Linked DNA regions of Drosophila melanogaster. Each later gene encodes a partner of the first gene's protein in a complex. Each region holds a gene or a part of one and is shown in the gene's direction. Other genes may lie near its edges.

What was found. The genes of interacting proteins can lie anywhere in the genome.
Region 2: E(bx) (region 1) and Nurf-38 share a complex: the UniProt entries of both Drosophila melanogaster proteins name them as parts of the NURF complex.

What each region holds. Positions count from the first base shown.
Region 1 is NT_037436.4:243,418-249,945, reverse strand, and holds the start of E(bx) (enhancer of bithorax), read left to right. Parts: upstream 1-3,033; 5' UTR 3,034-3,563; intron 3,564-3,622; 5' UTR 3,623-3,729; coding exon 3,730-4,018; intron 4,019-4,470; coding exon 4,471-6,528. Other genes in the region: mthl14 (methuselah-like 14), read right to left, coding at 1-237, 296-414, 469-545, 604-1,027, 1,081-1,270, 1,325-1,744, 1,830-1,945. UniProt on the Drosophila melanogaster protein: Histone-binding component of NURF (nucleosome remodeling factor), a complex which catalyzes ATP-dependent nucleosome sliding and facilitates transcription of chromatin.
Region 2 is NT_033778.4:24,557,817-24,563,919, reverse strand, and holds Nurf-38 (nucleosome remodeling factor - 38kD), read left to right. Parts: upstream 1-2,832; 5' UTR 2,833-2,859; coding exon 2,860-3,067; intron 3,068-3,509; coding exon 3,510-3,628; intron 3,629-3,694; coding exon 3,695-4,090; intron 4,091-4,145; coding exon 4,146-4,297; intron 4,298-4,355; coding exon 4,356-4,465; coding exon of another isoform or gene 4,466-4,497; exon of another isoform or gene 4,498-4,768; intron 4,769-4,787; coding exon 4,788-4,819; 3' UTR 4,820-4,953; downstream 4,954-6,103. Other genes in the region: CG11414 (uncharacterized protein), read right to left, coding at 1-893, 951-1,514, 1,578-1,723, 1,782-2,060. UniProt on the Drosophila melanogaster protein: Component of NURF (nucleosome remodeling factor), a complex which catalyzes ATP-dependent nucleosome sliding and facilitates transcription of chromatin.

The sequences.
Region 1 (6,528 bases):
AGAGCTTGCAGCTCTGTGCCTTCAATTTCGTGGGAACCACGATCATACCACCACCTTAATATTATTGTGCGACGCCTGCGCACGACTAGAAAAATGAGCAGTACCCAAACTCCCTGGAGTCCATTCACCATGTCACAGAGTATCAGGTAATTTGAATTCGATCCCGAGTAAAATGTTATTATTTCGAGCAGCCAGCTAACGACCATTATTATTCCAAGTAAGCTGACACATTTAGCGCTAACGACAAAAATTAAAATAAATGCATGTGTTTGGACTGCAATAATTCTGCACTCACTCTTTTTTAACATCTTCATATTTTTGTTGGTCAAACAAGCATTTTCGCTCCTGAATGTTTTTTTCAGCCTTGGCGTAGCCGCTTATACGTTGAAATCCGAAGAACGATATGATGTTAAGCTAAGAATGTACAATTGCATAAAACAAAAAACAGGTACGAAAAGAAGTGCTTACCAAAAAACTTAGAAAAAGTATAGTAGACACTGGAGGAATAAAGTAACGTTGGGAATCTCGGATGGATTCAGTTAGGCCTTTAAATAATACATATGTTACTACTTATACTTTTAACTATTAAAGTCAATAACTTGCCTTGCAGAAAGTAAGACGGCATTCCTGGGAGTCCTTTTTGAACAGTTAGTGCAACTATTGTGGCCGGTCCGGAAAAGGCAAAAACAGCGTAACACGCAAAATTAAAGGTGGCCCAACTCTTTGAGCATTGAATGCAGCAAGGCAACTTGTACCACACATTCAAAAGAACATTGAAGCATATGCACAAGTACCAGAAGAAGTAACTTAAAATACAAAACTGTATGACGTAGCCAATGAACCCTTGGTTCGGGATCCCATAGATGTGCACAACGGAGTGCACAAAGTATCCAGACGCCAAGCACAGAGACATCAAACTTAGCGAGAGACCATGCAAGTTACGCAATAAACGAAGTGTCATGTGCAAATAACTAACTAATAGCAGGCAGGGCATAGATATAAGCATAAGAACGGCAACAAAAACGACCTGAAATAATATTCATCCGTTGGTAAATAGAAAATAATGTTACATTGACTTACTTTTGCGAAGGCAATTTGTTCTTCCACTTGGGTTACACATGTAAAGGCAAACAAGTGTCCTGACTTATCAATATCCAAGCAATAATGTTCCTTCACAGTGTATGATTCGTTGCCAAATTTGTCGATGATTAATAACGAACCGTCTTGCAGAACAAAGAAAACATCGTCTTTGTCGTCGTACAAAAGAGAACTAATTTTGCAGAAGAATTTGTACTTTGATTCAATTTAACATTCGCTTTCATACCTGTTGCACGGATTTCCAATGTCGTAGTCGAGCGTAGTCTCAACCTCCAAATCTTCAATGCAGTTATCGAACAGAACTGCACTTATTATAGTCGGTTCGAAGCTTAAGAGCCCGTTGTCGCACATCGAATCGCTTTGATTTTCCCGATATATATTTAAGTTTTCTCCATGTGGGCAGCATTTTCTTAAACGAGACGATGGTGTTGCAACTGGTTGCTTTCTGTACTTTTCCCGTTGAGAACAGTCCGCCGGATCTAACGGGTTGTCTACAGGACTTTGAACAGGAACAGAGGTTGCGAACCTAGCACCTGATATTGTTGCAGCTTCTGTCGAATATGTTTGAGGTACAACCAGTGTTGAATGTATTGAGGCGTCCAGAACGTCAATCGAAGTGCTATTGAATGTGTCTTCATGGAAAATACTAAGCAAAGCAAAATATATTATAGAAAATGCAAAGATTCCAAAATTAGTATTTTTCGAAAACAAATATTTTGAGTATTTCTTACTTTGAGTTGTTTGATCCCTTCGAACTGTTATTTACAGTGCTTATCTGTGCGGAGGCGTTAAAAAACGTTTGTAAACTGATTAGAGCTAGGAGAAAATTCCAGTGGCCTAGATTCATATTGCCTTTTCAACCAATCTACAAAAAATATATAGCATAAAATGAATAAAACAAAATTGCCGAGTTCGTTTACACAGAAAGTATGTAAACAAACCAAATTTTGACATTAGTTAGGTGGTGTGGGAACTGGTAAGATATGGGCTATCTTATCTGTGTAAGATACCAGTAGAGTGCGTTATCATAATATAACACATGACGTCAGACGAATGTGGTAGCACATTCCTTAGAATTGATCAATACTCGGAAAATTACACTCATCAACTTATACAAAACCGCGTTAAATGTCAATTTTTGCGCACTGATTATTTGATTAGATCATATTTTATTCAATTATTGTATTTTTAAAAATAAACTATTTATGGCAATTATTGTTTACGTACATGTCAAATAATTTATGCTTGCTATTTAAAATGCAACCACTGAGCTTGATTAATAAAGTAATACTAGCGAAAAAGAAGTTTTAATTCTGCAATGGAATCACTTTGTGCAGGCGATAAGATAACGATGTTTTCAGGGCTTCAAAGCAAATTGTTTACCCTAATTTCTTTAACAATAACACATTTCTCAACAAACACAATTAAAATACTTTAATTTAGTATTTTTAGAATAATTTTTTAAAAAATTTAAGTAATAATAATATAAAAACCTTTCCCAGTAAACAAAAAATCGTAACGGCAACTTATTATCGATAACATTTTTAATGGATTTTTCGTGGTCGGCAATTTACGAAATGAGATCACCAGGATTTAAAATGCGAAATTGGGTAGAATGTAATACACTAAAATAAATTTACAAAAAAATACATTTTTTTTACCGCATCAAAAATACCGTTTTAATTTTTAAGATAGTGAGCAAAGGTAAGTTTATTTTGATTACAAGTTAACGGGTTTTCTTTAAACGCCCGCTCAACACGTCGATAAAAATAAAAATACATCTGTCAGTGCGGTTCAGCGTAAATGCCAAAAGCAACCCTGCCTATATCGTTTGTGCAACCATAAAGAATTAGTTCTCCAAGCCGACCGCAAGAGGACGCTTCTGACTTCACGCAATAGAAGAGTCGCTGTGATTGGCCGACTGTACACCGTCTTTAGCTATGTTCAAAACTGTAATGTTAGGTAAAAGTCTCTTTCGCAGTGTGCTGAAGATAGTTAAAAATATTAGAATATATCGTGTTAAATCCTGTGCAATTATTCCGCAACATGCTGGGTAATTTGCGCAGTTAATCCATGTGTTAATTGTGAAAGAAGAGTGACATTTAAACAGACGCAAAAATTTTCACGGTTGCTTAAATGGCGGACAATGTGCGTTGGCTTCATTTCATCGCACTCGCACACATACAATCGAACTTGGTGGTGCTGTCCAGTGCGTTTGCCGTCCAACACTAGAAGCCAAGAATGTGTTTTGAATACATGTACTTAATGTATTTAATCGGAACCGTTATTCTGAACTAAACAAGCTCTTTTGGCGGGTTTTTTTCAACTCCAAATTTGCGCAATACAAAGAAAGTGAACACCCAACGACAAACTTTTGACGATCTGATCGATTTTTCCCCCACATACGCTGTTGAGTAAATGTGTGTTTGAATGTGCCCCGTAAATACATAGCTAGCTGAGTGCGAGTGAGATGCGGTGTGCGTTCCTGTGGCACCGTGTACTAATGGGTTAATTTTCGTTTCAGATCTAATGTGCAGCCTCGCAGCATTAACTTGGAACAATATCTGAGGAGAGTACCCCCACGCACCCCTGCACACAGCCAGATAAATACGCAAGGCGAAAACAAACAAGATGAGCGGTCGCGGCAGCCGTAAACGTGGACGTCCGCCAAAGACGCCCAACGAACGCGCATCAGGACGCTTCAATTACCAGCTTCTCAAGAAGCCGAAGTATCTCAGCGAGGGAAAGTCGCAGCCCAGCACTCCGTCGGCATCCAGGGGCATTTCTCCACAGAGCGACGAGGGCAGCAGGAGCAGCCACAACAACCACACCAATCGCAGTCGCGGGAGCGCCGCTAAGAGGGGACGAGGCCGCAAATCCGCCGTGCAACCGAACACCAGTAGCTACTCTGGAAGGAAAGGTGGGTTAAAGGGGCACCTAAACTCTAACTTGGGAGTCAAGACTTACAGTTTCGCTCTGACTAGTTCGAAGATTAATAGGGAACATAATGTGCCATATATTGATTGCAGTGGAGAAAACTTTGATCGTTTTGAATGGTACTCATACTTCAAACGAGTTTTCCTGTGCGTTAAAGAGCTTCCGCTTCATAAAAGATCAAATTTAATATTTTCGTGACAACCACTACCGGGCGAGTCAGTTTCGATAGGTCTATCTGCTCTAATACCAACGATTATTTTTGAAATCTTACGACAAAAAATCTTTCAGTCTAGTTGGCATGAGTTTAATAACAATTACTTAAATACAATTCAGTAGAAATTGGGTCCACAATAGCAGTGACAGTATGTCAGGTTTTATGCACTTAGGTGTTGGTGAAATCATATTGGTTCTAAGAGCTACTGTTCCTCTTTTCAGGGTACGAGTCGGAGTATCACTACGGGTCAGATTTTGGGGATTCCGAAGAAGATAAATCCGATAATGAGGATGATATGCTGCTTACTCCCAGCGACGACGAGAGCCTAGAAGTAGCCAACGAGAGCGAATCAGAGTTTTCCGTGTGCAGCTTTAACCAAAATGGAGTTGGTCGGCCGCCACGTCCTCCTAGCCCAGAACCTGTGTGGCTGCAGGAAGGTCGTCAGTATGCAGCGCTTGATTTGCCGGACTCGTCGGAGGATCTTTTCATTGCTAATACACACGTTTTGCGCGCGCTAAGTATCTATGAAGTACTGCGACGATTTCGCCACATGGTCCGCCTTTCACCATTCCGATTTGAAGACTTGTGTGCAGCGCTGGCTTGTGAGGAGCAAAGTGCATTATTGACGGAGGTACACATAATGCTGCTTAAAGCGATTCTTCGAGAAGAGGACGCGCAGGGTACACATTTTGGCCCGCTGGATCAAAAAGATACGGTTAATATAAGTCTTTACCTGATTGACTCTATAACGTGGCCGGAAGTTTTGCGAAGCTATGTAGAAAGCGATAAGACATTTGATCGCAACGTGTTTCACATTTTAAGCCACACTGAATACCCTTACACGGGCATTGACAACCGGCTTGAAGTGCTCCAGTTTCTGTCAGATCAATTTTTAACTTCCAATTCTATACGAGATGTAATGCTGCAGGAGGGACCTATTCATTATGATGACCATTGCCGAGTGTGCCATCGGCTCGGTGATTTATTATGTTGCGAGACGTGCCCTGCTGTCTATCATTTGGAATGTGTAGACCCGCCAATGAATGACGTACCTACTGAGGATTGGCAGTGCGGGCTTTGCCGCTCGCATAAGGTAAGTGGCGTAGTGGACTGCGTGTTGCCACAAGAAAAACAAGGCGTGCTAATCCGGCATGATAGCCTCGGTGTTGATCGTCATGGGCGCAAATATTGGTTTATTGCACGTCGCATTTTTATCGAGGATCAGGAGAACTTTACATGCTGGTATTACAGTACGACAAGTAAGTTAAAATTGCTGCTCAGTCGACTGGACGCCGAAGAACTGGAAACTCGTCTGCATAGCCAGATTACAGAAAGGAGAGACGAAATCGAGCGCCAAATGAAACTGACTGAGACCTTAACCAATGAACACAAACACACGAAGCGTAGTGTTATCGAAATCGAACAAGAGGCTAAAAATGAACTTTTGGAGAAAGAGGTGCTTGACGAGGATGAAAAAGATGGTGATGCTAAATCTGAGAGTCAATCTATAGAGGGAACAAAAAAACAAGAAGAATGTAAAATGGTCACGCGTCAAAAATCCAATCAGCTGACTAATGGTACTTTGCATTTTAAACTTGGCATGGAGCAAGGATTTAAGAACTATGTCAACCAGTATTCAACAAATCCAATTGCACTCAACAAGCCGCAACGAAACGAGGAGCGAGATAAGCGACGCCATCTGTCCCATAAGTTCTCGTTAACGACGGCTTCTGACTTTAAATGGATCGGTATAACCATGGGAACTACTGACAATATGATAACAACTCTAAGGCAAACATTGATAAACTTCGAATCCAATATAGCAGCTTCCTTTTTAAATATTAACTGGGTAGTTAACAAAAAAATTTGGAATGCTGCGGTGATGAACGCCCGTCGACCTTCTGAATTTGCGGTAGTATTGTTACTTTTTCAAGCGTCCCTTAAGAGCGTTGTTTTTGCCAACGTCTGGCATGAGCAACTCGGACACACAACTTTGCAACGCATAACTAGTGCCGAACGAGAGGAGCGAAAAAAACTAGAAAAGCGAGAGAAGCGCGAGCGGGATGATGAGGAAGAACGTAATCGCTTAGCATTTAACTACATAAAGTATACCCTGGGTCTCAAACATCAAGTCTGGAAGCAAAAAGGAGAAGAATACCGGGTCCACGGGCAATGGGGCTGGCTTTGGCTCTCAAGCAGTCGACGCTGTGGTGTTCGTGCACGTCGAGCCCAACCTCTAACACACAATAGAGTCTACGTACATTACACCATGGGAGAGG
Region 2 (6,103 bases), on another chromosome or scaffold:
GCTCTTGAACATTGTTGTTGCTTGCCTTGGGAGCAGGTTTCGATGTTGGACTCGGCAGAACCGGGGCCGGCGCCACTTTGGCCTTGCGATTCTCCAGCTCACGCTGCTTCTTCTCATTAGCTGGTTTCGACCAGTTCAATGAAGGAGATCCACTGCTGGGCTTTGGAGCAGTCGTCCTGCTTGAGCTGGCGCTGGCACTCGGTCCGAGGCTAGGGAATTCCGCCGCAGTGAGTTTGGGAGCACTCTTCTTCAAAGCCTCCTGGCGCGCTTTGGCCTCGTCCTCCTCCTTTTGTACCATTTGAAGCTTTTGAAAGGTGCTCGGGCTAGCCACTGACACGTAGTCATCGGCTAGAGACCGATGCTTAGCGGAGATGTTCGCCATCGGCACTGGCGATCCGCTAGGCAGCATATCCTCCTCCAGGTTGCGCAGATTCTTCTTGTTCCCCTTACCCGGTAATGCAGGAAAGTCTACCTGCGGCGTGGCTGCCTTTTTGGGCACGGCTGCTGATCGATTTGACACATGCAGGAGCATTCCGTTACCGGGAGGCCCACTTCGACTGCCAGAACCTGCCGCGCTTGTGGGTTTCTTAAAGACAGCTGCCACGGGGTGCTGCGATTGAGCAGCCCGGGCGGCAATGCTGCTGCTAGTGGGCCCAGTAACACCACCTCCATTTCCTCCTCCCAGAGCCGGGAAGTTTTCTTTGGTCCGAGCAAGACCAGAAGTTCCACTAAGATTGCGCATCGAGGGCGGTGGCGGTCTCACCAAGGATACGCTGGGAGCTGTGGAAGCGCCTCTCAATGTGGGAAACTGTTCCTCGTTGCCAGCATCAATGCTCACATGGCGCTGGGTGATCGAAGGCAAATCGTTCTGGTAGTCGTTGTGCTCGTCATTCCTGTAAGGTTTACCATTCTAAGAGTGCCTTCTTCAAATTGGATGGCCGCTCACTCACCTGGTTCTCACGCTGGTTATGCCCTGCTCCGTCTGCCCACTACGGCCACGAGGCCCCAAAGTGATCTCCACCTGCAAGGTGCGCGTCTGCTTGGCCTGCTGCTTGTTGAGCGACTTGCCGTGCACGTTGGCCACGTGCGCCTTGTACTCGATTTCGTTGCGGAATGCGCCGACAAACTGCTCGGTGGCGCACTTACCCTCCTCGCAGAGAAAGTGCTCCGCCCGGAAATGTTCCGCCAGATCCGCATAGTCATTGTAGAACTCATTGCAACCATCGGCGTCGCAAAAGTGGCAGAAGTAGTGCTCGCGGCGCAAATGACGGAACAACTCATCACGGTCCACATAGCGTTTATTGCAGTATTCGCACAACGGATGACCGCGATGCGACCGATTGTCCGGATCGCCCTTGGTGTTGTGTAGCTGCAGCTCCGCCTGAGTGTAGCACCTCCGTTCGAAGGTGAAGATATTGAGGGTCTCGACGCATAGGTCACAGTACAGAAGTTTATGCTCGCTGCGAACATGGTTGCGAAGGCCCTCGAACGTGCGGTATGGAGGTGCATCGCATCTGCAATTTAGCGTAGAAGGGTGAGCCTCAATGGTGCAACTCAAGTGCGGGCAGAATACTCACTTCGGGCAGGGATGGTCGAGCAATTTGAAGAATTGCTGTCTTATCTCTGCGGTGCAGAAGCCGATGCGGTACTTCTTGCTGTATAAATCAGAGCGGTTATTTGCCTCCAGTTCGCGATAGGGCAGCTTGTCCAGTGTGAACAAAACCTGCAAGTGTTTTAGAATTAGATAGAGATTCGGTTCTCTAGACAAGCGCAGGACTTACCTTGGACAGGACGTGGCGGCAGATGGGGCACTCGTTCTGCTGGCAGAGAACCCTCATCCGAGTGGAGCACTCGTAGCACACGGGATGATCACAGTCGCCGATGGAGAAAATTTCCACGTTTTTGAAGCACACCACGCAGGCGTTGTCGTCGTTGCCCGTATAGCTCTCCAAGGCCTCCGGCTTGACAGCAGCGTTATCAGTGGTGGTGTTGGCCACTCCGTCTTTGGGACGGCGGTGGAACGACGGCCTGGCCGAAGATCTCGGTTTTCCGTTCTGCATTTCACTAGAGATTTTGCAGTGAATGGAGGGGGGGAATTTACTTGTTGCCACGGGCACTTGAAAATGTACGTGTAACGACTGCTTTCGGATAAAAGCTGGGGTTTCTTGGATCCCCCGGTTTGTTTACTCTTTTGGAATATCTCGTCAGCAAAATAAAGGGGAATTTTTGCAACGCCAACTCGAAAGCAAGGCAACACGCACACACGACAGACGAAAAGAAAACTCAGAATTTAGAAAACTCGATTGCCAATGTTATCGATGACACTGCTCGGATCCCCGATAGCACCGATAGTTCCCAGTTGGAAGCTTTGTTAATGTTAAGTTAACATGACCAGAATTCGGACAATTTCGCAACGATCAGTAACCAGTACAAGTAAAACCTATTGACTTCGAATTTATAAAAAATTCAATCACTTATATGAAACTTTTAAAATATTTCTAAGTGCTTCTTCTGCAGGTATGAACATATTCAAAGCATATTTTGTTTAAGTTTTTACGATTTGACAAAAACTAAATAATCTTTAAGGTTTTGATAGTTGTCTTATTTATACTGTAAATAGATTTGTATAATAATTATAATTACAATATTGTATTTTATATTTAATAATAATAATTATAATGTTATAGTTTTCATATAATAATATTTATAATAATAGTTCTAATTGTATGAAAAAATGAAGTTCATTCTCCATTGGAATGGATGAAATGGAATCGAGCTATACATTTTCTGAGCAGCACTGTTAACTGTAAAATCGGGTCCTATCGCCCTATCGATAGACTCAACTCAGGGCTGAAGAAAATGTTGGCGAAAATTACAAGGAGTTCATTTTACGCTTCACGTGCGGTTGGTCGCTTGTCCGGCTCGATTCCAACGTCACCAGCGGCCCTTGCCAGCAATTGCAGATATATTCAGATAGAACGGAAGCGCACGAAATCACACGAGATGGCTCTGTACGAAACCGTTGAGAAGGGCGCTAAGAATTCGCCGAGCTACAGCCTGTATTTCAGTGAGTAGAGTAGCGCATTGGGGGCCAAATGTGAATGTGACCCGGCTTAACCCTTTGCTTGCGCATTTGCAAGTTACCCAAACTCGGTGCAGTTAATGCACCTAGAATTAGTTGATCGGTACCGGAATGGTTATGCAACAGGTCAAACCGGACTCTGCTTATTTAACTCGACGCATTATCAGCACTATCAGCCGATCCGATTTGTCTTGCGTCGGAAATGGCGGAAACACCAAGAGTTTCGGCCCCTTTGGGCTTATCTCTTTCCTTTATTAGCCCATATTCCGAATAGCAGATATCGAAACTGGTGGCTGAATTTCGGTTTACTGGCACGCAAATTAGTGACCTTTGTCTAGCCGACAGGTCCCCGGTCACTATTAATCAAATCGCGTGTCCAGGTGTCGCCCATATATCAGGCATAATAATTTCTGGCCATTCTCCACAGAAAACAAGTGCGGCAATGTCATCTCGCCGATGCACGACATTCCACTGTACGCCAACGAGGAGAAAACTATCTACAACATGGTGGTGGAGGTGCCACGTTGGACCAACGCGAAAATGGAGGTCGGTCTGCCTGTCCCTAAGATTCATACTTCTGAATAATACAAAAATTGCATGTCTGACCCTTAGATTAGCTTGAAGACCCCTATGAATCCCATCAAGCAGGACATCAAGAAGGGTAAGCTGCGGTTCGTGGCCAACTGCTTCCCGCACAAGGGCTACATCTGGAACTACGGAGCCCTGCCCCAGACCTGGGAAAACCCCGACCACATCGAGCCCTCCACCGGCTGCAAGGGTGACAACGATCCCATCGATGTCATCGAGATTGGCTACCGAGTGGCTAAGCGCGGCGACGTGCTGAAGGTCAAGGTGCTGGGCACCATTGCCTTGATTGACGAGGGCGAAACCGACTGGAAGATAATCGCCATCGATGTGAACGATCCGTTGGCCTCGAAAGTCAATGATATCGCCGATGTGGACCAGTACTTCCCGGGTCTGCTTCGTGCCACCGTTGAGTGGTTCAAGGTGGGTGGAATTCGATTTTCGGACGATTCCCTCTCTTACCCTTTGCATTTCGCAGATCTACAAGATCCCCGATGGCAAGCCTGAGAATCAGTTTGCTTTCAACGGCGATGCCAAGAATGCGGACTTTGCCAACACCATCATTGCCGAGACCCACAAGTTCTGGCAGAACTTGGTGCACCAGAGCCCCGCATCCGGGTCCATCTCCACGTGGGTTAAATGCCATTTTATACATTTACAATTAATCCTAAGTACGTCCGTTTCGCAGCACCAACATCACCAACCGCAACTCGGAGCACGTCATTCCCAAGGAGGAGGCCGAGAAGATACTGGCCGAGGCCCCCGATGGCGGCCAGGTCGAGGAGGTGTCTGATACAGGTAAGGTTCACTATATTAGATCGAACTTATAGCTGCTTCACCCGATCCCAACCAAAAACACACTACTCCAACACACGCTTTAACCACCAGTAACTTGCAAACAAATTGGTTACACAAACACAACCTGCACGCTTACTAATAGCTACTTTAATTGTCCAGTTAGCAAGCTAAATTGAGATTACTCCATGCTGTAAATACTGCTGAAACCCAATTTATGTAATTGGCTTGCTTGCGTTCGTTAATCGTTGTACATATACTTTATACTGAATGTTATCCTGAAATAAACCCTTTTTATACCAATTTACGTCCTTTGTAATTGCAGTCGACACTTGGCATTTCATTCATCTCAAGTGAGATGTTCTCCTGGGCTGATTCCATCACAAGATCCATGATCTATCTGTAGTCCAATCGAATCGAAAATGCTTGCACTTGTGAATTATTAATACTGAAATATTATCGTACGTTGAATAAAGTTTTGCACCGCAATCAAATTCGCTGTCGATTCCTCTTGAAATATACAATCTTTATTTATATTTTACGACTAGATCCAAACAAGTTTAAATTAATTAAAAGTTATGTAATTGTAAGGCATTGCAATACTACATAGAATCGAATCGAATTATGCCGTGTGGTGTTGCTCAGATGTGATTTCCGTTCTATTGCAGGAGAGCATGTGTGGGAAGGTGTGGAACGTAAAATTTATTGCCGTAACAAATTAACTTAAGCTTACGAAATAAAAGAAATGTACAAATCAGTTAGGCGTTATAAATATGTATAGAAATCTTTAAAAGAAGACAAAAATAGTTATATACATCAGACATTTTGATTCTTGTTCGTTTGTTCGTTCGTTTTTTTGTTTGCTTGTTTTTTTTTTGTTTGTTTCTTCTCATATTTGATTCTTGGCATAACTTTTTGCTTTCCTTCTGCGCGAAGAACTAAAAGAAATAAGCATAATTTACGTAATTCACTACAACTAAAAGCTCCACGAGACTGTTTCATGACAGATGATAGAAATAACATATAGACCAATTTAGACTTTCCGATATAAGTGCGGATAAGTAGCGTGTAATAGTTTAGTAATTGTCTTCATAATTTTTTTTTCAACATTTTTGCTCTGCTTTCTCTTGTAGCTAGATGTTAGCTTAGTTGTTTCTTCAAGTGGTACACATTCCTCGGGTCGATCGTTTCCTGGTTGCCATAGTTTCGTGCCGTGTTCTGCCACAGTTATCAATAATAATAGTTTTAGTTAATAGTTCATAGAATTAAGTAGCTGCTCGTGCCAGTGACGGTGCCAGAAAATCCCAGAGAATCGCACTTTACTTGCGACCCAGGGTATCGCGCCATTCGTTATACTTGTCCATCTCCTCGTGCAGCTGAAGAGCCTCTATGCAGGCGTTGAAGAAGGGCGATCCGAAGCATTCTTGCCTGTGTTCAAAAACAAAAGGAGGAGGAGGAATTAGGAAACCTGATTTTTTTTAATTTGGTGTATAGCTTGCTCAGAAGAAAAAAGAGCCAAAGTTCAAAAGCCATATTCAGGTATGGTTGAATATATCACAAAAATTATTGTTCTCAAAATCTTGTTCTGTTTGTTTGCTCAAAAAATACGAGCTCAACAGTTCGAGGATTATTGAGGAATTT